Linked DNA regions of Neurospora crassa OR74A. The protein of the gene in region 1 interacts with the protein of each later gene in a pairwise test. Links are inferred from orthologs where the notes say so. Each region holds a gene or a part of one and is shown in the gene's direction. Other genes may lie near its edges.

The links.
Region 2: the proteins of NCU03669 (region 1) and NCU05233 interact in binary tests that used the Saccharomyces cerevisiae proteins (3 or more experiments, as listed by UniProt). The link is inferred for Neurospora crassa OR74A from reciprocal best matches to the Saccharomyces cerevisiae genes SPB1 and NOP53.
Region 3: the proteins of NCU03669 (region 1) and NCU09131 interact in binary tests that used the Saccharomyces cerevisiae proteins (3 or more experiments, as listed by UniProt). The link is inferred for Neurospora crassa OR74A from reciprocal best matches to the Saccharomyces cerevisiae genes SPB1 and NOP12.
Region 4: the proteins of NCU03669 (region 1) and NCU00337 interact in binary tests that used the Saccharomyces cerevisiae proteins (3 or more experiments, as listed by UniProt). The link is inferred for Neurospora crassa OR74A from reciprocal best matches to the Saccharomyces cerevisiae genes SPB1 and NOC3.
Region 5: the proteins of NCU03669 (region 1) and NCU00404 interact in binary tests that used the Saccharomyces cerevisiae proteins (3 or more experiments, as listed by UniProt). The link is inferred for Neurospora crassa OR74A from reciprocal best matches to the Saccharomyces cerevisiae genes SPB1 and RPF1.
Region 6: the proteins of NCU03669 (region 1) and NCU01301 interact in binary tests that used the Saccharomyces cerevisiae proteins (3 or more experiments, as listed by UniProt). The link is inferred for Neurospora crassa OR74A from reciprocal best matches to the Saccharomyces cerevisiae genes SPB1 and LOC1.
Region 7: the proteins of NCU03669 (region 1) and fkr-4 interact in binary tests that used the Saccharomyces cerevisiae proteins (3 or more experiments, as listed by UniProt). The link is inferred for Neurospora crassa OR74A from reciprocal best matches to the Saccharomyces cerevisiae genes SPB1 and FPR3.

What each region holds. Positions count from the first base shown.
Region 1 is NC_026505.1:2,021,329-2,025,523, forward strand, and holds the start of NCU03669 (AdoMet-dependent rRNA methyltransferase spb1), read left to right. Parts: upstream 1-1,356; 5' UTR 1,357-1,499; coding exon 1,500-1,667; intron 1,668-1,734; coding exon 1,735-3,511; intron 3,512-3,578; coding exon 3,579-4,049; intron 4,050-4,128; coding exon 4,129-4,195. Other genes in the region: NCU03668 (WD domain-containing protein), read right to left, coding at 1-306. UniProt on the Saccharomyces cerevisiae protein: Required for proper assembly of pre-ribosomal particles during the biogenesis of the 60S ribosomal subunit. Specifically methylates the guanosine in position 2922 of the 25S rRNA at the stage of 27S pre-rRNA maturation.
Region 2 is NC_026504.1:5,668,337-5,672,217, forward strand, and holds NCU05233 (60S ribosome subunit biogenesis protein NOP53), read left to right. Parts: upstream 1-1,470; 5' UTR 1,471-1,702; coding exon 1,703-1,854; intron 1,855-1,927; coding exon 1,928-3,134; 3' UTR 3,135-3,321; downstream 3,322-3,881. Other genes in the region: NCU05234 (GTP-binding protein ryh1), read right to left, coding at 1-65, 203-291, 376-401, 498-544; NCU05232 (AP-2 complex subunit beta), read right to left, coding at 3,644-3,881. UniProt on the Saccharomyces cerevisiae protein: Late-acting factor in the nuclear maturation of 60S ribosomal subunits, which is required for normal acquisition of export competence. Required for the export of the large subunit.
Region 3 is NC_026501.1:5,442,206-5,446,394, forward strand, and holds NCU09131 (nucleolar protein 12), read left to right. Parts: upstream 1-1,358; 5' UTR 1,359-1,660; coding exon 1,661-1,671; intron 1,672-1,734; coding exon 1,735-1,798; intron 1,799-1,859; coding exon 1,860-2,969; intron 2,970-3,038; coding exon 3,039-3,638; 3' UTR 3,639-4,094; downstream 4,095-4,189. Other genes in the region: NCU09130 (hypothetical protein), read right to left, coding at 1-756.
Region 4 is NC_026503.1:3,495,650-3,499,673, forward strand, and holds NCU00337 (nuclear export protein Noc3), read left to right. Parts: upstream 1-1,160; 5' UTR 1,161-1,325; coding exon 1,326-3,356; 3' UTR 3,357-3,486; downstream 3,487-4,024. Other genes in the region: NCU00336 (U3 small nucleolar RNA-associated protein 10), read right to left, coding at 1-594. UniProt on the Saccharomyces cerevisiae protein: Required for synthesis of 60S ribosomal subunits and the transport of pre-ribosomes from the nucleoplasm to the cytoplasm. Also required for initiation of DNA replication.
Region 5 is NC_026503.1:3,739,806-3,743,857, reverse strand, and holds NCU00404 (RNA processing factor 1), read left to right. Parts: upstream 1-1,473; 5' UTR 1,474-1,611; coding exon 1,612-2,332; intron 2,333-2,404; coding exon 2,405-2,580; intron 2,581-2,660; coding exon 2,661-2,922; intron 2,923-2,992; coding exon 2,993-3,117; 3' UTR 3,118-3,487; downstream 3,488-4,052. Other genes in the region: NCU00405 (glycyl-tRNA synthetase 1), read right to left, coding at 1-807. UniProt on the Saccharomyces cerevisiae protein: Essential protein. Required for biogenesis of the 60S ribosomal subunit.
Region 6 is NC_026505.1:3,571,613-3,574,784, forward strand, and holds NCU01301 (60S ribosomal subunit assembly/export protein loc-1), read left to right. Parts: upstream 1-1,454; 5' UTR 1,455-1,583; coding exon 1,584-1,892; intron 1,893-2,001; coding exon 2,002-2,322; 3' UTR 2,323-2,669; downstream 2,670-3,172. Other genes in the region: NCU01300 (imidazoleglycerol-phosphate dehydratase), read right to left, coding at 243-655, 739-1,015; NCU01302 (hydrolase), read right to left, coding at 2,827-2,970, 3,025-3,153. UniProt on the Saccharomyces cerevisiae protein: Required for efficient assembly and nuclear export of the 60S ribosomal subunit. Involved in asymmetric localization of ASH1 mRNA.
Region 7 is NC_026501.1:5,029,338-5,033,480, forward strand, and holds fkr-4 (FK506-binding protein 4), read left to right. Parts: upstream 1-1,297; 5' UTR 1,298-1,556; coding exon 1,557-1,646; intron 1,647-1,742; coding exon 1,743-2,186; intron 2,187-2,256; coding exon 2,257-2,920; intron 2,921-2,979; coding exon 2,980-3,185; 3' UTR 3,186-3,825; downstream 3,826-4,143. Other genes in the region: NCU16390 (hypothetical protein), read left to right, coding at 328-482, 546-726. UniProt on the Saccharomyces cerevisiae protein: Proline isomerase that belongs to an abundant class of enzymes that catalyze the cis-trans isomerization of X-Pro peptide bonds and can accelerate the refolding of proline-containing polypeptides. Specifically binds nuclear localization sequences.

The sequences.
Region 1 (4,195 bases):
CACATCTGGGATTTCCTCTTCCGAGATGGGCCTGAGAGGACTGGATGGAGTATGAGATCGTTCTATGAGAGGACCGGCTAGATCACGAAGAGCTCTTTGGGAAGCGCTGGGGTGGTTATTCGCTATGACTCGGGGAGTAAAGAAGCGCCTGAATTTCCGGGGGGTGATGGACGGGTTTCGACGTTCCTTGGCTGCGCTTCGCGGAGGAGGAGAGGACGGAATGGGGGGAATGTTGTTGCTGGTGTTCAACGACGACGAGCTCTTAACTCCCAAAGGGGTTGAAGTGCTGTTGGAGTTATCGGCCATGGCGAAAGGATTCTCTTCGACTACCAGAGCGAAGAGCTGGGTCCAGGCCGCTTATGCAACACGATACCTAGAGACGATGTACACGGGGCCGGCGACGCTGGATGCGCGCGACCTGGCAGCGAGGGGCCGCCGATGGCAAGGGTACGCGGAGACAGAGAACAGGCTGTGGTGATGGATATTTGTACAGAATCAGTTGAGCAACAGCTGGCGCAGAGGTATTGCTGGCAAGTGTCGACTGGATATTGGACAAGGGCTGACGTCGAAGTTGCAGGCTAGGCTGTGTGCAGCAAGCAGGCTGAGCTTGAAGAAGGACGGGAGGTCGAGGTCGTCGTTGAGAGACAAGGTAGGCGGCCGGGGGGGGCGTAAGGTATTGGCGCCGAGTTTATTGGTTGGCGGATTTGGTCGTAGTAGTATGGGTCCTCTGAGTGAAGTGGTGCGGCCGGAAGGGGTATGTCTATGTCGGTTTCTGGTGTAAGTGTGTCCTTGGTAGTATGGACTTGAAATTGAATGCGTAGGTGGAGATGTGATGGAATTGGATTTGGTTGTTCGTTTCTGTTGTGGATTTCCCTTGCGTGGTTCAGTTCCTAGAAGTACCTACGCTTTTGCTGAGTTCCCACTTGAGTACCTAGGTTTGCCGGGCAACCAAATCGACAGCCATGGAAACCTGACCTGACCTGGCCTGACCACCCATGGACTCCATTGAACACCTCCTCCAGTGGGCAGAGGCTGGGCGTGCGGTCCGTAGCGGCCGGGGGTCGGGGGGGAGGCGCCTAGAAGGAATGCGGTTTAGTGCTCCATCAGGGGAACGCGAAGACGCGGGAACAAATGACGCGCTGCATCGCGAAAGCTTAATGGCTTTTTCGTCCCATAAATCGCGGTTGCTGAAGACATGAAGATTGGTCAATGCACTGCACTTCAACCGCGGGATGTCTGGCCCACCCTGATGGGGCCCGTCTTGCTCGTTGCCCCACCAGCCGCCGGAGTCCAGTCTCTTATCGCTTATCGCCCTGCAGCTGTCATCCAAAAAAATCATTCTGCAACGACGACCCTGCAATCCCTGCGCTGCGAGTGCTGGAGGGAAGAACAGTCAAAGGGCACCCGGACTGCCATTTTCACCAACCCAAAAAAGTCACCAGGTCGTCCTGCTCAACAACACCAGTCGGAAACACCCCCCGACTTAGAGCACCGGCACCATGGCGATCCAAAAGAAACACGGCAAGGGCCGTCTTGACAAGTGGTACAAGCTTGCCAAGGAGAAGGGTTATCGTGCCCGTGCCGCCTTCAAGCTGATCCAGCTCAACAAGAAGTATGGATTCCTCGAGAAAAGCAAGGTCGCTCTCGATCTTTGCGCTGCGCCCGGTGTAAGTCATAGTCGTGAACATCCAGTTTATCATGGAGTGAACTAACCATGTCTGTGTCCGTCCCTAGTCGTGGTGTCAAGTCTGCGCCGAGACTATGCCGACAAACTCCATCATCATCGGTGTCGATCTTGCTCCCATCAAGCCCATCCCCAAGGTCATTACCTTCCAGAGCGATATCACCACCGAAAAGTGTCGCGCAACCATCCGCTCCCATCTCAAGACATGGAAGGCCGACGTCGTTCTTCACGATGGTGCGCCCAACGTCGGTACTGCTTGGGTCCAGGATTCGTACAACCAGGCCGAACTTGCCCTGCACTCGCTAAAGCTGGCCACCGAGTTCCTTATTGAGGGCGGTACGTTCGTCACCAAGGTGTTCAGATCCAAGGACTACAACTCCCTTCTCTGGGTTTGCAACCAGCTTTTCGCCAAGGTCGAGGCTACGAAGCCCCCTTCGTCCCGTAACGTCTCCGCCGAAATCTTCGTCGTCTGCCGCGGCTTCAAGGCCCCCAAGCGCATTGACCCCAAGCTTCTCGACCCCCGCTCCGTTTTCGAGGATGTGGCCGGCCCCGCCCCCAACAACGAAGCCAAGGTGTACAACCCCGAAGTCAAGAAGAGAAAGAGAGAGGGTTATGAGGAGGGAGACTACACCCAGTTCAAGGAGATCTCTGCCAGCGAGTTCATCAACACTGTCGATCCCATCGCCATTCTCGGCCAGTACAACAAACTCAGCTTTGAGCAACCCAAGAACGGCGATGTAGCATTGGCTGCCCTCGACAAGCTCCCCGAAACGACCGAAGAAATCCGTCTCTGCTGCGCCGATCTCAAAGTGCTCGGCAGGAAAGAGTTCAAGCTTCTCTTAAAATGGCGTCTAAAAGTACGGGAGATCTTCGGCTTCCCCTCCAAGAAGACCCAGAAGGCAGCTGTGGACGAGGAGGTTGCGGTAGTGGAGAACATGGATGAGGAGCTTAGGATCCAGGAGGAGCTGCAAAGGATCAAGGAGAAGGAGACCTCCAAGAAGAAGCGCGAGAGGAGGCGCGAGAATGAGAAGAAGCAAAAGGAGATTGTCCGCATGCAGATGAACATGACTGCGCCCATGGATATTGGTGTGGAGCAGGAAGGTCCCCGTGGTGAGGGTGCCATGTTCCGTCTCAAGACTATCGACCAGAACGCTGCCCTGAATAAGATCGCCAAGGGCAAGATGGCCGTTATCAAAGAGACCGAGAAACCGAAGGATTACGACTTTGGCTCCGACGGCGAAACCGACGAGAGCGACGAGGAGGCCGATCGTCTGGAGGAAGAGCTCGACAACCTGTACGATCAGTACCGGGAGCGGAAGGCGGCGGCCGATGCCAAGTACCGTGCCAAGAAGGCCAGGAAAGAGAACGGCGACGATGAATGGGAAGGCGTATCTGGCGATGAGGAGAAGGGTAGCGACGACGATGACGATGAGGAACTAGAAGTGGACAGCAGTGATGATGATTCCGACTCAGAGGATGGTGAATCTGGCAAGAAACTTATAACAGATCTAGACGGCCAGCCAGAAGAGAAGGATGGTCTGTCCAAGCGGGCCAAGAACTTCTTCAGTCAAGGTATCTTTGCGGAGATACCAGGACTTTTGGAGGAGCCAGAATCTGAGGAGGAGGAGGCTCAGGAGGCTGAGCTTGTTGAGGCTGTGGAGGACCTCAAGGTTACCAAGAAGGAGAAGAAGGAAGCCAAGGAAACCAAGGCCAAGAGCAAGAAGGCGGCCGAGGAGAGCGATGACGACGACGATTTCGAGGTTGTCAAGAACAACGAGGATGACGACTGGGAGAACGTTGAGAAGAAGAAGAAGAACGGCAGGCCTGGTAAGTTTCACTCAGTCCCTCTTCAGTATGACCTGTTAAGGGCAATGGCTGACTATGACAACTACAGACATCGACATCATCACCGCCGAGGCCATGACCCTCGCCCACCAGCTCGCGACCGGCGAGAAGACAAGTTACGACGTCATCGACGACGGTTACACCAAGCACGCCTTCAAGGACCGCGACGGTCTTCCCGACTGGTTCCTTGACGACGAGTCCAAGCACGACAAGCCGCACAAGCCCATCACCAAGGCCGCAGCGCAGGCCATTAAGGAGAAGCTCCGGGCCTACAACGCCCGTCCTATCAAGAAGGTGGCCGAGGCCAAGGCCAGGAAGAAGTTCAAGCAGGCCCAGAGGCTGGAGAAGCTCAAGAAGAAGGCCGATATGCTTGCCGGTGACGATGGCATGTCAGAAAAGGAAAAGGCTGCTAGCATTTCGAAGCTCATGGCGTCGGTTGCTAAGAAGACGAGGAGGGCGCCTATCAAGGTTGTCAAGGCTGCTGGTTCCAACAAGGGTCTCCAGGGCAGACCTAAAGGAGGTTCGTACTATCACTACCTTAAGATCTGGTGTGTTCTTTATGTTGGAATGATGCTAACTCGGTTTTTTCAATTTTATAGTCAAGGGCAGGTACAAGATGGTGGATCCTCGTATGAAGAAGGAGTTGAGGGCGATGAAGAGGATTTC
Region 2 (3,881 bases), on another chromosome or scaffold:
AAACGCTCCTGGCCGGCTGTGTCCCAGAGCTGTAGGCGGACTGTTCGGTCTTCGAGGTACATGGTCTTTTTCCCCCCCGTAAAGTTAGCCAAAGGCTCTCATCTTGTTCTACTAGTTCTTGGGTCTTTGCAACTGTCGCGCATTGTCTGTCTGGGAAGGAAGGGCGGTAAAGAATTGAATGGGAGACGGGGGTCGAACATGCCTTGGAAAGGAAATCGATACCAATGGTGGCTTGGTACATGTTATCGAACGAGTCGTACATGAAGCGTGTGATGAGCGACGTCTTGCCGACTGTTTGCGCGCAATCGTTGAGTTAGCATTGGTGTCTCGGAGAACATCGTGGAGAAAGTGTTGTAGGTTGAGGTAATCGCATACCGCTTTGTTCGCCCAAGAAGACCAACCTGGCGAGGAGAAAGAGTGGTTAGCATCTTGTCTTGTTTTGTCTTCCATTTGACTTAAGTGCATTGTCTGCAAAAGTGTCGGGTATGTTGTCTTACTTGAATTTCTTCAAGGGGTTGTTGTATGACCCGCCTGCTTGCGCCATTGTGATGGATGTGTTTGCGGATTAACGGTATTTGGCGGGGTAGGTAGGTAGGTAGGTAGGTAGGTAGCTGAAGGTATTCGGAAACACGATCAAGGGGAGGAAGCTTTCGGACTTTGGAGGAGGTGGTGGTGGTTAAGTGGCAGAAAGCTTAGTAGTGTAGGCGGTCGGAGTTGGTCTAGAGTTAGATAGGTGTCTGCTGGTCGTCGAAGTGGAAGATGGACGGCGGCGGAGAGTTGCCGGAGACTGATCATGCAGCGTTGAGTGGTCTCAGTGGTGCGACGGACGGGGCGTGGTGGCCGGGGGGTGGATGACAAGGGAGCTTGGAGGACAATCGGGTCGGTGTTTGGGATCCAGTCGGGGTCTCGTTGCCGACTTGGTTGCTGGGGTCTTTGCAGTCCGTCGAGTCTTCGTTTACCAAACAAAAATCGGGTCGAGAGATCGTTTTATAAGAGTTGATACCACAGAGAGCAGAAAATACTTGAACATTTAATATTTTGTTTGGATACAGATTAATTGATTGACCGACATTCCGTATGTACGTATGTACAAGTTTACATGTTTTTATCCATTGTTTATGCATAACCTCAAGTTCGAACAACAAAGTGTTTCTTGCGACTATTATTCAGTCTTCTTCCCCGAAGCGGACTCATGCGAGAGAAAGGGGACCGCGCCAAGCGATCAGTGGAGGGAAACAGTGGCCGCCCGCCGCCTTTCTGCGCCCAGACAAATTCGACACTTCACTTGACCAAAACGACCGAGACCGGGCATCCAATGGAAGCTTGGCGGCCGTCATTGGATTTGTCCAGAGGCCGAGGCAGCTTGGAAGTCTGATTGGCTAATTGCTCCAACTGCCAGCTGAGCACGGCTGGGGAAGGGAACTGAAGCGCTGGACGCTTGTGTTCCATGAAGTTGCTCTTCCCTGTCCTGTCTCGGGCAGGTCTTTCTTATCTTATCGCTGCCTCCTGTCGCCGCTGAAATTTTGAGTTGCACACCCCACTGGGCAGTCGGATTGATTGCAGAGGAGACCCCAGAATTCCAGGCGGTTTCGAGGTATCAATATTTCCAATTTCTTATCTGCCTCGAACCTCCGCCGACTCGTTTGATTTCTTCGAGTCGTCAACCCAACAACACAACACACCATCACATCACATATCCAAAATGCCCGTCCTAAAACCCTTGTCGGGCAATCCCGAAGCCCCCAAGCAATACAACCAACCGTCGAGAAAGGGCAAGAAGGCGTGGAGGAAGAATGTCGACGTGACAGAGGTCGAGCAGGGTCTCGATGAGTTGAACGCCCAGATTATCAAGGGGTACGGCGCTCCTTCTGTGATGCTTTGTATTACCAAAGACACCAATTGGTTAACATGAATTATCGTATAACAGTGGTGTCATTGCCGAGAAGACCTCCGAAGAACTCTTCGCCATCGACGTCAAGCCCGACACCGAAATCACCAAGAAGCTCCCCAAGCAACTCAAGAAGCCCTTGAAGGCCGACGAGATCCTCGCCCAGCGCTCCGCCGTTCCCGCCGTCTCCCTCAAGAAGCGCCCGGCTTCTGAAACCTCCGGCAAGGTCACCGACGGCGTCCTGCCCTCCAAGCGCCTGCGGGCCACCTACGTCACCCAAAAGGAGCTCAGTCGCCTGAAGCGCGTTGCCGACGGCCACCACACCACCACGGTTGAGGTCGTTGACGCCACCTTTGACGCCTGGGCCGACCCAGAGGAAGAGCAGAAAAAGAAGCAGCAGGCCGCGGAAACGTTCAACTTTTTGCCCAAGGTCGAGAAGCCCAAGGCGCCCAAGACGCTCACACAACAACCCATCTCCCTCGCCGCCACCGGCAAGCAGCTCCCCGCCGTTCCCAAGCCCAAGGGCGACAAGTCGTACAACCCCGCCTTCACCGACTACTCGGAGCGCTACCAGGAGGAGCTGCGCAAGGCCGAGGAGGCCGAACGGAAGCGGCTGGAGGAACTCGAGAAGGAGCGTCTCAAGGCCGAAGCGGCCGCCAAGTCGCGCGCCGAGGCCGAGGCCGCCGAGAAGCGCGCCGAGCTGTCGGAATGGGAGGATGATTCCGCCTGGGAAGGGGCCGAGAGCGACGCGGAAGGGTTGGCCAACAAGAAGAAGCGGCCGGAGCGCAAGACGCAAGCCCAGCGCAACAAGATCAAGCGCCGCAAGGCCGAGGAGCAGCGTCTGAAGCACGAGGCGGCCATCAAGAAGAGGGAGGCCGAGGCCGCGCGGGTCAAGCAGATTGCCAAGGAACTGGCCGAGAAGGAGAGGCAGCTTGCTCTCCAAAAAGCCGAATCCAACAATGTCGAAGAGGACGATGCTAGCCTTGAAGAAGATGACGACGTCGAGCTGCGCCGTAGGCAACTAGGCAAGTTCAAGTTGCCCGAGAAGGATCTGGAGCTGGTCTTGCCGGATGAGCTGCAGGATTCGCTGAGGTTGCTCAAGCCGGAGGGTAACTTGTTGAAAGACAGGTACAGGAATATGTTGCTTAGAGGCAAGGTGGAGGCGAGGAGGCACATTCCCTTCAAAAAGCAGGCCAAGACAAAGGTCACGGAGAAGTGGACTTTCAAGGATTTCAATCTGGCTTGAAGCGGCTCGGCTGGGTTTAAGTTTTGGGGCTTTACGGACATATACATATTCGGATTTGTTTGGTAATTGTTTTTCCTTCTACAAAATATTCCCTTTTGGTTTTTGTTAGTAGTACGTTTGTCATGTGTATATTGGCGTTTACGGTTTTCTCACTTGGTCTTCAGTGCAATAAAAGGTTGGAACATTCAAAGTGGTCCTATGCTCGCGTTTTTGTCTTTCAAGTCTTGTAGTGAGATGACATTACATGAATGTCTTCACACTCGCCCATTAACACACCAGAACATACGTAGTGACGGGATATTACTTGTTATTCGCATTATCTACAACCAAAAACCCTAACTGGATATCTTTTCCCACCACCCTACCAAATCACACACTCACCACGCTTCCCCAACTCCTAGTCTGTCTATTACATTACTACCTTGTCTCTCCTCTCTTCCCACTCTTACCCCTTCCCATCCCATCCCCCCTTTCCATTCGGAGCTAGGCACCCCTCACACCACACTCCCTCACAACAACAAATCCCCCTGAGCCCCATTCATCCCTCCCATGCCATTCATCCCCCCCATCCCCGGCTGGTACGCCGAGCTCTGACTGACCACGTACCCCTGTCCATACCCATAATGTCCCGCATCCCCACCAAAACTGTCGCCGGGCTGCTGTATCTGCATCTGCCTCATCTGCTGCGCAAAGTACGCATCCGCATCATTGACCGCCGCCTGCTGGTTCGCTTGCTGCGTAAAGTAG
Region 3 (4,189 bases), on another chromosome or scaffold:
GACAGGCACGTCATCGGCTGAGAGCTTTTCGGGAAAGGTATTTGACTCAGTCCGCCTTTTGAACGGTTGGCTGAGATCTTGTTGCTCGGTGACTGAGGAGCGTTTCCGCTTTAGGATATCATGTCGGGGTGATAGTGTGAGGATCTTTTCAGGCGAGGCGGAAACTATTTGTACTTTCTTCGCCAGCACGGGAGATCGCGCAGGTGGTAGTTTGGCAGCAAATTCAGGCTCTTCGTCACTCAGGTCTTCCGAGGCCTCTTCGTCACCCACTTCTGCTTCTTCTGAGGGAGTGTTTCGCCCGCTGGCAGTGTTTTCCGGTTCGTAATCAGATTTGATTTGCTGCTGAAGCTTGCTAGGGCTGCGCTCGAACGTCCGATCGCGGCGGTCGGTGAATTGTCGAGTGCCAGGCTCACCCGCGGTGTCTACGATGTCGCGCGATACTCGATCTTTCGGTGGTGTGTCGTAGAGCCTCTCTGTCTCTGCCTCGGAGTCATTAATATCCACGTCCGACAGCTTGCTCTCGTCGTCAGTCTCAGCGCCAAGGTCCGAGTCGACGCCATCGCGATTGTCAGTTCGGACCGATGTCTCGCGATGTTGAGAGTGGTTACTGTTCATGTCCAAATCCATGTCGTCAGGATCTCCATGCTTGTCTTCCACGTCACTAAGTGGGCTTGACACATCGCTAGGGCTGTGTTGGAGCAGAGGCGGAGGGGGGCTCGAGAGAGCCAAGGACAGCGCGGTGTCACCGGTAGCCATCGCGGATCATAGAATCCGACGAGATTGAAACTAAGCAACGACGCGCCAATGTTGGGTTGAGCAGCTGAGCAGTGGAAAGTTGGACGGCCACGTAGAATTTAGTCGTGGACGGCGGACTGGACGTCCGAACTGTACGGGCAGCTCAAGAGCAGCACCTGAAGTTGTGGCGCCACGATCAGGGTAAAGTGTGTTTATGCCGGAAGGTTAAAATGTGTGCTCGCACACAATGAAATGTCTCGGAGATATGGCTTTGTTGTCGGTACGAGGGCGCGATTGTCAAGAGATAACGTGCGGTCTGGGTAGGTAAAGTAGTAGGAAGACAGATCGGGAGAGTGAGGAGCGGGCAGTAGGTATCTGGTTGACGACCTAGACTGGGAGCTGGACAAGCGCCCACAGCACCGCACCAGCACGCAACACAAATGGGCAACCGGCAGGTTTCTGGGGGGCTCCATTGCCTGCCCGCTTGCCTGCCGCCGCCGCCCGTCTCCAACAGCCCAGCGCACCACACAAAGGCGATGGCAGGCGGTGAGTCTTGGCAGCTTTGATAACAACTGATAAGCGAGTTTTTTTTTTTAATGGGAGGATGCAAGATGTTCCACGGTCCTCGACTCGTCCTTACGATGCGCAGTGGGGAAGGTAGAAACGACGACCCTTTGAAACCCTGGACCATTGAACCTGCCTGCATAGAAACTGGTCTTGCCTTGTACAACATCCTGCTAGAAATCAGAAGTGGAAGCTTTGCAATTCGATTTTGACAGCATTTACAGCCAATCACATCTTTCGCCTCGTCGTCGAACTTCAGTTGTTTTTCCGTGCTCTTAGAACTAAGTCAATCACAAGTGCTTGATTGGCGAATCGTGCCACTTTCCCATCCATTGCGCTTACACACGACGGAAAACTCACAATGGGTAAAACGTGCGAACAGCCCTACGCTACAGTCAACGCCATTCTTCCAGTATTCTGACACCACTATTATAGTAAAGGACTCGTTGCGCCGGTGAAGAAGGTTGATCCTAGCTTGGATGCTTTGTTTGCTACCAGTGTAAGTCATCTCGCTCTGACCAGACAGGCAATTGGAAGTTTACATGGCTAATCTTGTGTAGGTTGGTCCAGCGAAGCCCCGCCCAGCTGCAAAATACTCCGAGCCCCTACCGACAAAGTCCAAGAAGGCGCCAGTACCTTCCAAGAAAGAGGAAGACGTTCAGGACGAGGGCGATGACGAGGAACTGAGCGAGCTTGACGAAGAATACGATTCCGAGGTCGGCATTGGAGAGGATGACGAAGACGACGAGGCTGAAGACAACAGTGACAGCGAAGACGAAGCCGTCGCGACCCTCGAAGTTGTTGTAGAACAAGGAAAGGTCCCGGAAGAAGATGGACCGAAACGGAAGCGGAAGCAACCCGACCAGCACGACAATCTCGAACACAAATACCTGTCCAAGTTGGCGGAGGACGATGAAGAGCCGGCTGGCAAGCGTCTCAAGGCCGACGAGCAATCCGGAGAAAAGAAGGATACCGCCAAGGCCGAGAAGAAGGACGACGACGACAGCGAGTCTGCGGATGAGGTCCCCGTTCACGAATCGCTAGCGCCCGATGCTGCCCAGAACGAGATTGAGAAGGCCAACCGCACCGTCTTCCTCAGCAATGTCGCCGTCGAGGCCGTCACCTCTCGTTCGGCCAAAAAGGCCTTGATGAAGCATATGGCTTCAGTGTTGGACAAGGAGGCGAAACCTGCGCAAAAGGTTGAGTCGATACGGTTCCGCTCGACTGCCTTCGCTACCGCTGCCATTCCCAAGCGTGCCGCTTATATCAAGAAGTCCGTGATGGAGGCCACTACGAAGTCGACAAACGCCTATGTTGTCTACAGTACCCCTGCGGCCGCTCGTCTTGCCTGCTCGAAACTCAACGGCACAATCGTGTTGGATCGCCACATCCGTGTCGACAGCGTTGCCCATCCTGCCCCGGTAGACCACAAGCGCTGCGTCTTCGTCGGTAACCTTGGTTTTGTGGATGACGAGACAGTACTGCAAGTGAAGGTAGACGAAGACGGTAAGGAGGTGACCGAGAAGAAGAAGCGGACAAAGCAGCCTATGGACGTTGAGGAAGGTCTCTGGCGGGTATTCGGTAAAGAGGGCGGCAAAGTTGAGAGCGTTCGTGTGGTCCGCGACCCTGTCACCCGTGTCGGCAAGGGCTTCGCCTACGTTCAGTTCTGCGTGAGTTATCACTTCTCTCTGTCTCTTACTTGCCCGTTATCAACTAACAACTCTGTTCCCCCTCCGTAGGATGAAAACGCCGTCGAGTCAGCCATCCTCCTCAACGGCAAGAAATTCCCGCCCATGCTCCCCCGCGAGCTACGCGTCAGCCGCTGCAAGGCCCCTCACAAGACCCTGCGTGCCATCGAAGCCAAGAAGCTCAAGGCGCAGGGTGCCGTTCCGGAAACTATGAAGAAAGGCAACAACGGGAAGAAGGGTCCTGGCTCCAAGAAATCCGACTACGCCCCCAAGATCTCCGCCGAAGCCAAGACCATCGCCGGCCGCGCTGAGAAGCTCCTCGGCAAGTTCACTGCCAGACAGGTCATCGGCTCCGACAAGAAGAAGACTTTCAACAAGCAGGACAGATACCAGGCCAACCAAAGGAGGAATCACGCCTCGGGCGCCAACACGGAGGCGACCGGTCCCAGAGTCCCGGGCGCCTACAAGTCCCCCGAGAGTTTCATTCTCGAGGGTAAGCGTGCTAGTGCGGCAGACGGAAAACCTAAGGATCTCAAGTTCAAGGGCGCCAAGAAGAACAAGGCGCCGAATGCGGGTGGTGGTAAGAAGAAGACTGGTCGTGCTGCTGCGAGGGCTTCGAAGTGGAAGGTTCAAGGGAAGGGGAAGAAATAAGTGCTAGGCCATTTGCCTGATGTTTAGGGTTGTTTGCTGGTATAGAGCCAACGGGCAGCAGCCGGCGTGGTGCGGGTGCGCGCGTTTCATCCGGCGCGGCCCGTGGATTTTCAAGCTTCAAGAAAAGGGGCAGAATTCGAAAGTGAACAGAAGCCTTCGATTCATGACGCGCGCATGTATGGATAGGATAGGATAGGCTGTAATGCAGTCATCGCATATGAAGGTATCTCAACGGACTGTCCCCAACCGCGTGATACTTCGCAATGACGGGAATGTGGAGGAAGAGCCTTGGCGCCCAGAACTAGGTACATATGTAGTTGTCTGAAATTGCAGTATAACCGTGGAACGACTGTTAAGCCTGGCTCCGTGGTTCTTGCGACAGGGAATCGCAAACAATACAAAAATTAACAACACGGCCACATTGAAAGAAAATAAAAAAGAAACAACGTGTAAAGCCTTCAAGTGCACCATACCAACTTTCTACATGATGTCTCGTGGAATTGTGGGTGAGCTGTGTAGGGTAAATAGGCAAGTCCCGCGCTATTGAATAT
Region 4 (4,024 bases), on another chromosome or scaffold:
AGTGTACTGGGAGATGGCGGTAAGCAGCTCGGGGCGGTTCGTCGCTTGCTGAACAATGGCGGCGCGAGGGGGCGCGGTCAGAGAGCGGATGTAGGGGTCGAGGAAGCGGTACTCCTTGGGGATGTTGGCGGGCAGGATGGACAACAAGGTCACAAAGGCCGGGATGGTATGGTATGGGAGGAAGGTCGCGATGAGAGCAGCCGTGTTGAACTCATGAACGCGGAACCGGCGGATCAACCACTCGATGGCCTTGATGGTGGGCATGAGACGCAACCTGCTGCCGCACAGGTGGAGGAAGGCCTCGACATGCTTATCGAGGGCGGCATTCTCAGCGGCGCTCATCTGTGTCCTGTCGGCCTCCTGGCTTTGTGGGCTCCATAGCGACTGGGTGAACTTGGTGAAGCGCGAATCAAGGTTGCACAGCTCCTCAAAGCCTTCGAGGCATATCGAGTAGATCTCGGGGTATGTCTGGGTAGCGGCAACGCGGGGCTCGAAGATCAGGGACTTGGAGTGGGCGGCCTTGAGGACCTTGGTGTTGAGGGTCGACCGCGAGTTGGCAGCGATCTGGGCCAACTGGGAGGCCAAAGACGACATGGTTGGGTGTTGGTTTCTACGATTCGGCTTTATGGTTATCGTATGGTACTATCGTCAAGGAGAGTCGACGTCGATATTTCGATCGCGTCGCAAAGTGGGAATTCGATCGGCCTTTCGGCGCGTGGTGGGAGACGGGGAAGAGTGCAGTCTCGATTGTGTATCGTGGGGTAGAGACTGGGATTACGGGAGGTTGGATGTGTGTACAGTGGTCGAGAAAGAGATTAGGTGCCGCGGTCTCTCTTTGCTGCGACGAGGTTGATGTTTTCGGAGAGTGCCCCGTCGGTGGGTTCCTATTTGGATGGATGGAAGGAAAGGGAATTCAAACTTGGAGGAGGAGGTGCGGCCACTCGAAGCTCCAGCGCAAGCAACTGAACTCGACCGCAAAACTCAAAGTGCAGTCAATCGATGGCCGTTCATGGTTCAGCAACTTTTTTTTCCCCAAGCGGTGGGGTCCGATAAGAAAGCTAAACCAACCACATCCCGCCGATAAGACCCCCAGCTTTGGCAGCCAGGGTCCAAAAAGTTTGGAAAATGTTCCTGAGCGGTTCCTCATCTCAGTGAAGAACAAACAATCGATACCCATCCATCTCCACTCCAGAACACCGCTCGCTCCCGTCTCACTTCAGTCTGTCTTCAGCACACATCGATCAGCCGCCCACACTCAGTGTTTCAGGTTCACTTCACATCATCTCACAACCCTCCAACTGCACAGACCATCACCAGCCACCACCATGTCTTCCCATCCTTCCAAGCGGAGGAAGCTGACCGAGGGAGGCCAGTCCTCGGACGGCGCAGCAACCAGCGACGTCAAAATTCAAAAGCAGTTCTTCAAGAGTGCACAGAGCTGGAACCTCGAGGAGGACTATGAGAACCGCCCCAGGAAAGGAAAGAAGAAGAAGGAGAAGAAGGTCGCCGATGCCACGAAACTGCCCATCAGAGTTGCCGAGGGAACCTGGGTGACGCAGGAAGAGGAAGACGCCGAGATTGCGAGCGATGCCGAGTGGTTGGAGAGTGAAGGGGAGGAGGCCCCTGAGGAGGAGGAGGCTCAGCCCGAGCCAGAAGCACCCAAGATTCCCGAGCGTGAACAGATCAGGAGAGCCCAGGAGGAAATGGCCAAGATCGCAACGCAGCTCAATGAAGACCCAGAGGAGCATCCGGGTGCTTTCAAGGCGCTCGCCAAGATTGGAGAGTCGGACCTTCTCGCCATCAAGAAGCTCGCCATTGTTGTCCAGATGACCGTCTACAAGGATGTCATTCCCGGCTACAGGATAAGACCGGCTTCGGAGGATGTTGCCAAAGAGAAGCTGTCCAAGGATGTCAAGCGGCTACGCGTCTATGAACAGGCCATGGTGACCGGCTACTACCAATACATCAAGACCCTTGCTGCCCTCGCCGGTGGATCGATTCGCGACAAGTCCAAGCAGCCCATTTCCAGCATCGCCCTTACCTGCGCCTGCACCCTTTTGAACGCAGTACCGCACTTCAACTTCCGCGGTGAGCTTCTCAAGATTCTCATCAAGAAGCTGAGCTACAGAAATATCGATAAAGACTTTATCAAGTGCCGGACCGCTCTCGAGACCCTGTTTCACGAGGATGAGGATGGTCAACCCGCCATGGAGGCCATTTCAGTACTCACAAAGATGATGAAGGCTCGTAACTACCAGGTTGACGAGAGCATCCTGAACCTGTTCCTCCACCTGCGTTTGCTTAGCGAGTTTTCCGGAAAAGCTTCCAGAGACACGGTGGAGAAGCAGGACGATGGGTCGGTCAAGAAGCCGAAGCAGAAGAAGGAGTTCCGCACCAAGCGTGAGCGCAAGCTTCTTAAGGAGCAGAAGGAGGCTGAAAAGGTCATGGCCCACGCCGACGCAGCTGTGAGCTACGAGGAGCGAGAGCGGATGCAGTCCGAAACGCTCAAGATGGTTTTCGCCTCGTACTTCCGCATCCTCAAGATGCGTATTCCCAACCTCATGGGTGCCTGTCTTGAAGGTCTCGCCAGATACTCCCACCTGATTAACCAGGACTTTTTTGGTGATCTCCTTGAGGCCCTAAAAGACCTGATCCGCTACAGTGAAAAGGACGCCAACAAGGAGGACGAGTCGGACGACGAGAACAAGGAAGAGGAAGAGGATGAAGACGACGAGCACGAATTCGTTCGTGACACCAGCCGCGAAGCCCTCCTCTGCACCGTCACCGCCTTTGCTCTTCTCGAGGGCCAAGACGCCCATAACGCCCGCTCGGACCTTCACCTCGATCTCTCCTTCTTCATCACCCACCTCTTCCAGTCCCTCCTCTCTCTCTCCGTTAACCCGGATCTTGAACTCGGCGCCCAGTCGCTCCAGCTCCAAAACAGCGTGCGCCGCAACAACCGCATCAATTTGCAGACCACCACCGTCCTGCTCGTCAAGTGTCTCAGCGGCATCCTCTTGCCGCCCTGGAACATCCGCTCCGTGGCGCCGCTCCGTCTGGCCGCCTTCACGAAGCAGCTCATGTCCGGATCGCTCCAGGTGCCGGAGAAGTCAGCCCAGGCGCTTCTCGGCTTGCTCGCCGACGTGCTCCACACGCACGGCAGGAAGATCAGCTCGCTCTGGAATACGGAGGAGAGGAAGGGCGACGGCACTTATAAGCCACTTGCGGCGACAGTGGAGGGTAGCAACCCATTCGCGTCGACGGTGTGGGAGGGCGAGCTGTTGAGGAGACATTACTGCCCCAAGGTGAGGGAGAGTGTGAAGGAACTGGAGAAGAGCATCAAAAGTATCAAATAGCTGGTGAAAGGGTGATGTCGGAAGGGATTGTCTTGTTATGTCTACGAGACTCTAGGTGTAGGTTGTTGGAGAGTATACACGTTAGCTTTGGCATAGAATTATTATTGTTGAAACGATTCTGGATATCTACGAGTTTATGGCTGTGAAAGTGATTTCAATGGCGGCTGGCAGACACAAAGCCACCACCATACCAACGGGTACTTTTGTCGACCAAACCCATCATGATCACAGTGGAATGTGGTATTACTTCAGTTTCTTTGGAGATCTAAAAGCAGGCGGTCGCATTTGTTATGTGATAACACTTGGAGAATGAGCCTCCTCCACTGCACCTTCCCAAGACATTTCCAACTTTCAGTTGGCCATCAGCTGTTTTCCCTCCTCGACCTCCATTCAGCCGACCATCCTGACCTTTGCATCATTTTTCTTTTCTTTTCATCTTTTCTATTTTCTGCTCTAGCTCTGTCTCACCGAGTCGGGTCAGACTTGCCGAACCATGGCGGCTGTACATTAAACCGAGGCATGTCCGTAGCTTCCCCTCAGCCTCATGCGAGTTTAATTGGTGAGGTGAAAAATCTTTTGCTGTCTGATGACGATCGTCATATCGATTCATGGAGTGTCTTTCTCATTTCCCTTGTTGGTGTAAGCGTGCGGCTCTCATGTTCCACAAC
Region 5 (4,052 bases), on another chromosome or scaffold:
GAAGGCCACGGGAGGCTCAGGCTGGACACCGGTGGCGGGGTTCTTCAAGTCGTACTTCTTGATGAGCTCGCCGAGCTGCTCGCCGTTGTAGTTGTCGATCTGGGCGAGGATCTCCTCGTACTCCTTGACGACGGCGTCCTCGAGCTTGACAGCCTCGGTACCCTTGGCCTTCTTCTTCTTGCGCTTAGGGTCCTCCTCCTTGTCCTCTACCTTCTGGCCGCGAGCCTCCTTGTCGCCCTTGAGGCGGGCCTCGAGAACGTCCTCGACGAAGTGGTCGGCGCGCAGAATGTCGCCGTTCTTGGGGTCCTTGCACATCCAGTCGGCGAACTTGTCGACGTGGCCGGAGGTCTTGAGAACATCGTGGGGGGTCAGGGCGGTGCAGTCAACCTCGAGCATGTCCTCCTCGAGGACAAAGTGCTTGCGCCAGATGTCGATGATGTTGGCCTGGAGGGCACAACCGGGCGGGCCATAGTCGTAGAGGCCAGCAACACCGCCGTAGATATCGAAGGAGGGCGCAAAGAACATGCGGCGGCGCAGCATGGACTCGAGAGCGCCCTTGTCGAGGGGCTGGCCCTTGAGGGTGGTGGCCGTCGAGGTCATCTTGGTGTTTTGTTTTTTGACGTAGACTTGGAAGCGATGGTGCGAGGTAGAGAGGGAGAAGGATCGGAGCGAAGTCGAAGAGATCCGCGGGATGGGCGCCGGGGTCCAAGAAGTTCGACTGGCGACGGCTCGGGTGGATAAGGTCGATTTGAATGCTTGACCAGCAACAGGAGAACGGAGGGAGGCGAGACGGGCAAGAGGTCGCATGAATTGGTCTTGTTACAGTGCTCAAGGGAACCAAGTGAGTCACGGTCGCCCACTGAGGTTTCGTCGAGGCCTTTTCAATTGAAACACGTACTTCAACCGAATCGCGGGATGATTTTTTTCTTTGGGGGGGTAGAGGGGCGCCATGGAGGGGCCGGCACCAACGACCCAGACAACCTAAGCCAAGGGACAGCGGTCCAGATTCCCGCTCTCGAGCCGCCGTCAGTGGCGGCGCGGTACGCGACAGAAGGCTCGACTCGCTGGAATCCACCAGCCATATCAGGAAGTGGAACTGCACATGCTACTGTACACTACCTCTACCTACCTAAGTAACTCCCTTACAGAAAGCGCATTCCGCTGGCTAGCGTTATTGTGACTTTTCATCGGCTAGAGGTATTGATATTTGATTATCAAGAGTCCGTGATGCCGCCGTTCTTCATCCCAAAAATTCTGCTTCCGTCCCAACTTACAGCAAGGGACGGGATGGAGTCATCCTGTGCAGGTGACAGTCAGGTAGTAGTGTACACTGAGGGGTAGCGGTACGTACCTGTCCCCGGCTGAGGCCGTGCGTTAGCTGTTGGGGTACCCTTGTAGATGCACGTCTTGGCGCCCTTGATGGCTCTGGGCCCAGAAAAAAAGTTGAAAGTTTACCGGGCCCGTTCAATTCATCCGTCAGGTAGAGGTAGCAACAACTGCCCAGCATCACGTCGAAGTTTGAACTGTGACCTGGAGAATTGATCCTACCCTACAATTTTGACACCGCGACAACCACTAATCCCACCGCCGTGTTACCACATCGTAGCCGATATGCCGTCCGGTAACAAGGGCAAAAACCGCTCCGGCGGATCGCTGTCGCTCAAGACCTCCAACAAGATTGTCAGAAAGCAATTATACGTCAAGCAAAAGAAGGAGCAGGGAAAGGAACGCCATGAGGAGCGTCACCGCCGGAGGAAGGAGGAGGCCAAGGATCCCAAACTCAGAGAAGAGCGCCTCGCAAACAACCAACCCTTGACCATTGAGAGGAAACGCGTGTGGGATGACGTTGACGACGACAGCCTGGGCGTCGCTGTGGATGTTGCCGAGCTCAAGAGGAGGCGCTTGGAGAAGGAGGAGGCCGAGGCCGCCAGGCTAGCCGATGGAGTCACGGAGGAGGATGAGGAGAAGGACGACGATGCCGATTCTATGTTGGACTCGGACGAGGAGGGTGACGACGACGACGAAGATGCCGAGGAGCGCATCGAGAGACTCAGACAGGAGCGTGCGCAGAGGAAACCCAGCATCGCTCCCTCGACCACGTCGACAAATCTAGACATGACTCCCGACTCGCTCACACGACAATTTCCCAATCTCTTCAACGAGGAACCCCCAGTCGACCCCAAGATTCTGGTCACCACCCATTTGAACGGCACCATTCACAAGGAGGCGGAGGACATTGCTGCCATCTTTCCCAACAGCACGTACATCAGACGCAGTGCGCACGCGTATGGACACAAGTATAGTGTTCGCGAGATCGCAAAGTTTGCCAAGAGTGAGTAGCGCACCCAGGTTGGAGTTTTGTTGCCCAAGAGAAAATTGCTAACACAGGCCTGAATTGTTACAGACCGTGGATACACGATTCTCATGATTGTCGGCGAAGATCTCAAGAAGCCTAGCTCCCTGACCGTCATCCATCTCAACGGCGAAGATGTTGCCCCTGGTCCTTCGTTGACATACACCATCCGGAACTACCTGCCTGGAAAGGCTCTCCTTGGCCACGGTAACCCTACAAACCACTACGTAAGCCGTCCATCCTAATCCCCAAGTCCATTAATTACAGGACATTGAGACTAAGCATTGCAACCAAAAAAAAAATACAGCCCGAGCTTCTCCTCAATGGATTCAAGACCCCTCTCGGTATCCTCGCCGCTAAATCCATGCACACCATGTTCCCTCCCAGGCCCGAGCTTTCGGGTCGCCAGGTCGTGACATTGCACAACCAGCGTGATTACATCTTCTTTCGCCGCCACCGCTACGTCTTCCGCGAGGCCCGCACGACGGAGAAGAACGTGGTTACTGCGGAGGGCAAGGAGATGGAGGGTATGCAGGGTATCCGTGCTGGTTTGCAGGAGATTGGACCCAGTAAGTCTTGCTACCGCGGAAAACAAAAGTTTTGGCGAATGAACCGAAAGTGGCTGACTTGTTTTGATAGGATTCACTCTCAAGCTTCGTAGAGTGGATAAGGGTATCGGTCGGGCTGGCAGCGAAGGAGAGGATGCTTTGAAGTGGGAGTGGAAGGCCAAGATGGAGAAGGTTCGCACGCGCTTCAACCTCTAAGGGGGCTGATCATGATAGTAGTATTGGTGATACCCTTCTTTCAGTATGCCATCGTCTCTGTTGGCACTGGAGAGTATTTGTCTTGTTCAAAGTGTGTATGTGGCGTTATCGGTTCACAAAAGGGTTTGGGAGGAAGGCATGATTCATCAACATCAGGTCACTATGACTGTACTTCAAGACTACCTATTTTCTGTGCATGTACCGCCGGTTTCCTCTCCCTTTCTACGATTTATGACCAGCCTTCTTGGCTTCCTCCTTGAGCATAGCCACTGGATATCTAACCCAGCAACGAAATCTCAGCCATTCTGCTCAGTATCATCGGCAAGAGAAGCTGGAGATGCCGCCGAGTTGCGGTGATAGTGGGCGATCCAGATGGTGTAGAGGGACGAGCCGAGGATGCCGAGAAGTGAGAAGAGGATGCCCTAGAGGGTTATGATTTCGACTTGCTTTTGGGTTTGATCTGTTGCTGAACCAGGTACGGTTTTGGTTGAAAGAGGTAAAAGATAGGATATCATAATGACTGACTATCCACACCCCGCACACGACAAGCTGGGACCAAAGCCAACATGGCTCTCTCGGGTAAGACGGAGTGGTAGAGAACGTGATTCGTCACGCCACGATTGGCGTGAGCAAGATCCAAGCGATTTGGTAGAAGGTTACAGAATTAAAAGCTATTAGCCAATGAGGAAGGATCACATCGAGGGACATGGCCACGCTGAGGGGAGTGTCTCGGGGAGAGATGGAGCGAGGACAAAGAGCGAGAGGGGAGGTCGCGAGAGGAGGAAGACGGTCAGGTAGGTGGTGAGGAAGTGGAAGGTTGCGAAGGAGAGCTGGGTTAATTGGAAGGATGGGGTGGAGAAATGGACTGAATTGTGAAGACCTGGGTTGGTTCGGTTGTTCGTAAGGAACTGTTGGGAGAGGAGAGCAGGGAAAGA
Region 6 (3,172 bases), about 1.6 Mb from region 1:
TACGTCCGACTTTCCGAAAGGGGAACTTTGTCAACAACCTGCATCAGGGGTAAATTCCCTAGGTATACATTCGCCAATTCGCAACATGTATCTGGTTTTCCATTCTTCACTTCAACTCTACGCCGTCGCTATAGCGAAATGATGGCAGCCGAACATGCGCGCAAAGTACCACGGTAAACGACATCACATGGTATCATTGCACTTCTATATCCAAACCTATAACTAACTCCCTTCCCACTTCCTTATACGCTGAGCGTTCCCTTGGTGCTAGGAACTTCACCCTCGCGACCCGCCACCCGGCTAGTAGCCTGCCTCGTGGCAACCGCAAGCGCCTTGAATGCGCTCTCAGCTCTGTGGTGGTCGTTGTCGCCGCGGAGGCAGTCGACGTGCACGGTAATGCGGGCAGCCCCGGCAAAGCTATGGATACAGTGGGGGATCATCTCGGTGCTGAGATCGCCAATCTTCTCGCGCTTAAGACCGAGGTCGACAACGGCAAAGGGACGGTTCGACAGATCGACGACGGCACGGCTGAGGGCCTCGTCGAGAGGGCAGTATGCGGATCCGAAGCGCGCGAGGCCGGTGGGTGTGCCGAGAGCCTTGGCAAAGGCGTAACCAAGAGCGATGCAGACGTCTTCGGCGGTATGGTGGTCGTCGACTATGAGAGGGACAAAGTCAATTCAGAGTTCTGGATGTTGTTCCACGAGGACTTCTGCGCCCAAGCCAAGTGTGTCTACTAACTGTGAAGGTCGCCCTTGCAAGCAAGCGCAAGACTCCAGCCGGCATGCTTGGCAAGCGCATGGAGCATGTGGTCAAGGAAACCAATGCCGGTATTGACGCTGATAGTTTGCGATTTGCTAGCCTGAGTGGCATGGCCGTCGGCGATACTGACGTTCAAGCGGGCGTCGGTCTCGGGAGGGAATGCGCCGCCATCAAGGTTGAGTGCGATCTGGATCTTGGTCTCGTTGGTGTCGCGTGCAAAGGCGGCCCAGCGGGGCGCGGGCTGTTCGGTGCTCATTTTGTCTGAATAGGGCGTCTGAGACTTCTGGGGACTGTAGACTCTTGGGATATCACCACGGCAGTGTGATCAATTGCGATGTAAGGATGGCGACAATAAAGGTGATCTTGGAAATTTTGGCGATTTCGGAGTGCCACCAGTGAGGGAACGCACCGATAGGCAATCGATATGGAATAGGTACCTCCACTAGTGCTGCCAACCCCGCGCTTACACTAGAAGGAAACTAGAGTTTCCTGCTCGCCTGCCGATCCCCAGCTGCCAATTAGAGATTTCAAGGCAGCCCCACGGCGAGCTGACAGACCCCACTGCCCCGTAACCGCGCTCAGCAGGCGTTGATACAGTGCTATATGCACAAGCTCTAGAGGTACCTTGGATTAACCGCGATAAGATAAGGCAGGGACCAATTCCGGTCCCAAAATTTTCCCCAGAAGTCGACCGAACTGAAGCGACAGCGTACAGGATACATTCGAGAGTATTCGTACTCCATCCACCCATCCATATCCCGAACCACCATTTCATCTATCGTTGATTTCTTACGACCTTATCAACGAATCAACCACAACTCACAATGGCGCCGACAAAAACGATAAAGAACAAGCACGCTGCGAACAAATCCGGCATCAAGGGCAGCAAAGATGCGGAGAGGTCGAGGAACGATGGAGTGCTCAAGTCCAAGGGAAAGCCGAAGGGCAAAGCTCACACTCTCGTGACTGCCAGCAAGGGCCGACCGAACATCCAGGAGCTTATCGCCAGGAAGAAGAAGAAGAAGACCTACAGCGAAAAGGAGCTTGCGATTCCGGAACTCAACATGATCACCCCCGTTGGTGTGACCAAGCCAAAGGGAAAGAAGAAGGGCAAGGTGTTTGTGGATGACAAGGTAAGCTGTCTTTCGTTAGCGTCTGGGGTCATATTGGTTTTTTGTTTTCTTGCTAGGTTTCAAGACCGGAAAGCATCAAGTAACTGACATGTTTTCCCCCTTTGTACAGGAGAGCATGGCCACTATCCTAGCCATCGTACAAGCAGAAAAGGAGGGCCAGATCGAGTCCAAGATGATCAAGGCGCGACAAATGGAGGAGATCCGCGAGGCGAGACGCGCTGAAGCCGAGAAGAAGGAGGCTGAGCGCAAGGCCAGACTCGAAGAGACTAAGGACTCGCTGCGCAAGAAGCGTAAGCGCAGCAAGCAATCGGGCGGTAGCAAGGGCGACGACGACGATGACTCCAGAGATGTCAAGGAGTTCTCGTCTGCGGGCACGAAAGCCGTTAAGTCGAAAAAGAAGAAGTCGGTATCCTTCGCTGCTCCCGAATAAATAATCAAGCAAGGATGCTGGGAGCTTTGAAGGTCCCTCCTGGGAATGGGCTGGGAGAATGAAGACAGGAAGGGTGGAAGTTTGTCGTGTAATACCTACACCAAGCATTTTTTCTTCGCATGTATGGCGTCTGGGCGTTTATATCAATCAAAGTCTGGCGGCGGGTAGGATGGCTTGGCTGGGGGAACAGTTCTGACTGATTTTGTGTGTGGAAATTAAAGATACCAATTGGGCACGCCAGCCTTGGTCCAGCCTCTTTTTCTCATGAGTCGGTAGATGTTATTAGGTGAAACCGTCAGGATGGTGTAGTTCGTGGCTCGCATAAGCCATCAATGAACGTACGTTCGAACCTGTATCCAAGTCGAAAGCGCGAATCTAAGTCTATGTGCAGCCCCAATGTGCCTTGAAGCGCGTCTAGACCCTTTAGGCCCAATCGATGGACCCATCTCTATAGCTAATCTATGTACAGTCTTCGTTCTTTTCAAGTGTTCATTCCACCACCATCTATTGATCCACATCGAGAATCTGCAACTTTCGCTGCACAGGGTCGAAGTGAGTTCTGAACTGGCTATCGAACTTGTCACAAGCATCCGGCTTGATGGCGTCCAAGTCAATATCGAAAGCCATCTTGTTCAGGAAGTTGCAGATCTAGACAACAAATCAGCAAAAAGTTACCGGAAAGTGAGGCAAAAAGAAACTTACAGGACGAGTATGCCATCGTCCGCCACCAAGTTCGAACCATGAAAGATGTCCGCCGAGAGACGTGAGGCAAAGTACCGTGTAGGGGTTCTGCTTGATCTCTTGGTAGGGAATGGCCTCCTCAACAGCGATCTAGTAATTTGTCAGCTCT
Region 7 (4,143 bases), on another chromosome or scaffold:
AGTTCAGTGCAATATTCAATGGTTCCAATTGATGATCCGCGGTCAACAAACCTACCGCTAGAGGAAGTGATAATGATAGCTGACTACCCCCCCCCCCCCCCCCCCCCCCCCCCCCAAAACGACACAAAAAACATCAGCAGAGTCCAACTATTTATCACCCAATCCCTCTGATAGCCTCCATAGACATCCGCTTTGAAGTGGCACCAGGAAAGCTTGACATCGTCTTGATTCCGGGACCGGAATCCTTAGCTTGACCTCTAAGAGGGCCCAGCCGCTCTGTCGTGGCTGGCAGGGCATGCGAACAACACCAGTAACAACCAGACGAAAATGACAGACATCCTAAGCGTCTACTCAGCCATCTACCTCTGCGGTGCGGCCGGGATACTCAAAAGCAAGCAAGCCTGTGGACCGCGAGAGTTGCAAGGAGATCTGCGGACGAGATTCGAGGACCAGGACGTTATTCGGGTGGCGGAGAAGTTGAGGTGGGTGGGGGATGGGAATCTTTGGCTTATTCTAGTGGTTTGTTTTCATCCCTTCCTGACTAGGCCCAGAAGACTGGGCCGACATTCGATGAATACTATAGGAGGCGTAACCAACGGCAATGATCTCGTTGCGGCTTACGCGAGGCAGAGCCGTCACTTCCCGGGCCCAGTGGCTAAGTCGGGATTGAAGCTCGTTAAGGTGGATGAGAGGCCGCAGAGATATGAAAATCGAGACAAGATCTAGAGACGATTGCGTTGATGATGGGATGACTGTGGCATGCTGGGTTATCAAGGTGTGCCTGAAGGTTCAGCCAGGGGCTTACCTAATCTTGCTTTGAATCCCTCAGAAATGCTTTCGTTGGTGAATCCTCTCACTCAGGTGGAGTGAACCGTGAGCCTGGGGGACCGATGTGATGTGGGATGGCATCGCCGGGAGACTCCAGACATGTACCTGTGGTGCATGGTGTTCATTCTTATACCTCCCACCTGATGCACTTTGCTCTGGCACCAATGAATCCTGCAGATGGCAAAAGATTGCAGTCCCGCGGCGACCACCTTCAAACCTCGAGTCGGTGATGACGAGTTGCAGTTTGAACATCCCGTCGTCGCAAGGTTCCCATGCCAGCTCTAGGCACATCAAGCGTCCGCGCACGACGTTAGCGCGGAGCTTGTCGAACTCTTCCCCGCTTTTGTTAGCAGACCGGCCTGCATTGACCGACATACCCTTGCTAGCTTGGCTTGGGGAGCGGGAGAGTGGCAGTGAACCGATAAGGAAGTCTTATCGCTACAGTAACAGACAGTACAGACGGTGGGGTGCCGAAATTTTTCTGGATTCCAAGTGCAGTTCGCCTGAACTTTTCCTGTCGACCGCCCTCGTCCTCGATCGCATTTTCTGCCTTTCCCAAGTCAAACTGGTCGCATCCATCTTCAGACTTTTTCTACCCAGCCCATTCATCTTCTTTCAATCTTAGAAGTGTATACTTCCGACGACGACTTCGAGTTCCTGTCTCTTTAGTTTTCTTTAAAATCTAGACTTTTTGATACCCCGGCGCAAAGCACCACCCAATCTTCACAATGGCCCCCCTTATGCCTGTCGCCGTTTTTGGCTTGGAGGTTCCTCCTGGCGAGATCCTCATTCCCGCCGCCTCTGAGTTCCCTGCTATCGTAAGTGCACACTTTTCGGAGCCTTTGGCCCTCTCCTTCGCAGGCAATGGCGCTCCACTGGACTGGGTTACACGGAGCTAACGACATGAATTCCAGATTCACATCACCATGGCCGCCCTCGATCCCACCAAGGCTCCTGAGGCTGACGGCCAAGGCAACATTCCCGCGCTCCCCCGCTCGACCCTGAAGATCATCAAGGCCACTGGCCACGACCATGACGACGATGATGAGGAGGAGGATGAGTACCTCCAGTCCCTCCTCGGCGGCGGCGACTCTGACGACGAGGCCAACGGTGGTCCCAGCGACCCTTCCAAGTCCAAGAAGGCCAAGCAGGAGGCTGCCATCAAGAAGCTTATGGCTGCTACCCAGGAGGAGTCTGATGAGGAGATGGAGGATGCCAAGCCCAACGGCAAGAAGGGCAAGGGCAAGGGCAAGGCCAGCGAGTCCGACGAGGAGGAGAGCGACGAGGAGAGCGACTGCTGCGGCGATGATGACCTCCAGCTTGAGGACTACGTTGTCTGCACCCTTGACACTGAGCGCGTAAGAAGCCCCATCCATTCGGTGAACGTATTTTTGAGTTCTTGGAGCTAACCTGATTCCCCATATACAGAACTACCAGCAGCCCATCAACATCACCATCGGCGAGGGTGAGAAGGTCTTCTTCTGTGTCCAGGGTACCCACTCTGTCTATCTCACCGGTAACTTCGTTGTTCCCGAGGATGACGAGGAGGACAGCGAGGATGATGAGGATGAGTCCGACGACGAGGATTACGACTTTCCCCTTGGTGGCGAGGATGACGATTCCGACGATATGAGCGACGAGCTCGACGAGCTCGATGGCACCCCCCGTGTCAAGGAGATCACCTCGGAAGACGAGGAGGAGGAGGCTCCCAAGCTTGTCGACACCAGCAAGAAGGGCAAGAAGCGCCCCGCCGAGGACGATGCCGAGGGTCTCGATGCCATGATCTCCAAGGACGACAAGAAGCTCAGCAAGAAGCAACAGAAGAAGCAGAAGGTTGAGGAGGCCAAGAAGGAGGAGCCTAAGAAGGAGACCAAGTCCGACAAGAAGGTCCAGTTCGCCAAGAACCTCGAGCAGGGCCCTACTGGCCCTGCCAAGGACAAGCTTGAGAACAAGAAGCCTACCTCTACCGTCAAGGTTGTCCAGGGCGTCACCATTGATGACAGGAAGGTTGGCACCGGCCGTGCCGCCAAGAACGGTGACCGTGTTGGCATGCGCTACATCGGAAAGCTCCAGAACGGCAAGGTCTTCGACTGTAAGTCTCACTTTTCCATCACTCTCACAGTATTGACTAGAGACTAATATTCAATACAGCCAACAAGAAGGGTGCCCCGTTCTCTTTCAAGCTCGGCAAGGGTGAGGTGATCAAGGGTTGGGACATCGGTGTTGCTGGCATGGCTGTCGGTGGTGAGCGTCGTCTCACCATCCCCGCGCACCTTGCCTACGGCAGCCGTGCCCTTCCCGGCATCCCCCCCAACAGCACTTTGATCTTCGACGTCAAGCTCCTTGAGATCAAGTAGATTGTGACGTTTCGAAGCGTGGGGTAGGAAGGCTTTGGCTAGCGTCGCGATTTCTATGGCGGTTGTCATCCACAACCTTTCGTGTTCTATGGCTAGCAAGTCTTGGGATTTCTTTGGTCAGCACATATTTCCTTGCGCTCATGTTGGGTTTGGTCAAGGAAGTGGGAATGTCATTTCAACAGCATAATGTCAAAAGTATTGGGTCTGGATTTCTTTCTGTACTTTGGGTTGTACATCGTTCATGGGGCACGATCTATTCTATATTGCGTCTATCAATTGCAAAGGCGCAACATTTCTACGTTACCTACACTCGACTCGGACTTGGCAAACTTGGATGTTTCGAGATGTCGAGGAAAGTGTCTTTGATTGACGGACGGTAATAACTTCCAGGAAAGCGTGACAGTTGGCTACAAACACTGGCTTTCTTCAGAATTGAAGTCGTACCTGCCCTGTCTGTGCCTCAAGAGGTCAGTGTTGTTGACCTGGGGCAAGGGAGGCACATCTAATGGGTAGGTAGTTCAGGTGATGCATAGGTATGGAGCTACCTTACTCCGAGTCGTCCTCTCTCACTGCACCTTGTCGTATTTCAACACACTGACAAAGTCCATCCACGTCTTCCCACCTCCCCGCTCTGCTTCCATCTCTCAATAGGTATCGTCATTGTATCTTTCACTATCATCATAGCCGCCGCGACTCCCGACTGCCGCCAAACTAGGCATTGTGCGTTACGATCGACCAACTTAGACGCCGCAGCGGTTTCTACCATTCAATGGACAGGACCGAGCTTGAGACATGAAGAGGAGCTCTTCCCAAACATCAAGTCATTTGGGTACCGCCATCCCGGTTTATCGTCCCACTAAGCCTGACGACTGCTCGCCTAGGTCGTCTCTCGCTTCTTCTTCACCCAGTCAAGGTGCCCATCGCCCATCGAGATCTCACTGGCAGAGGTCAAGGCTTG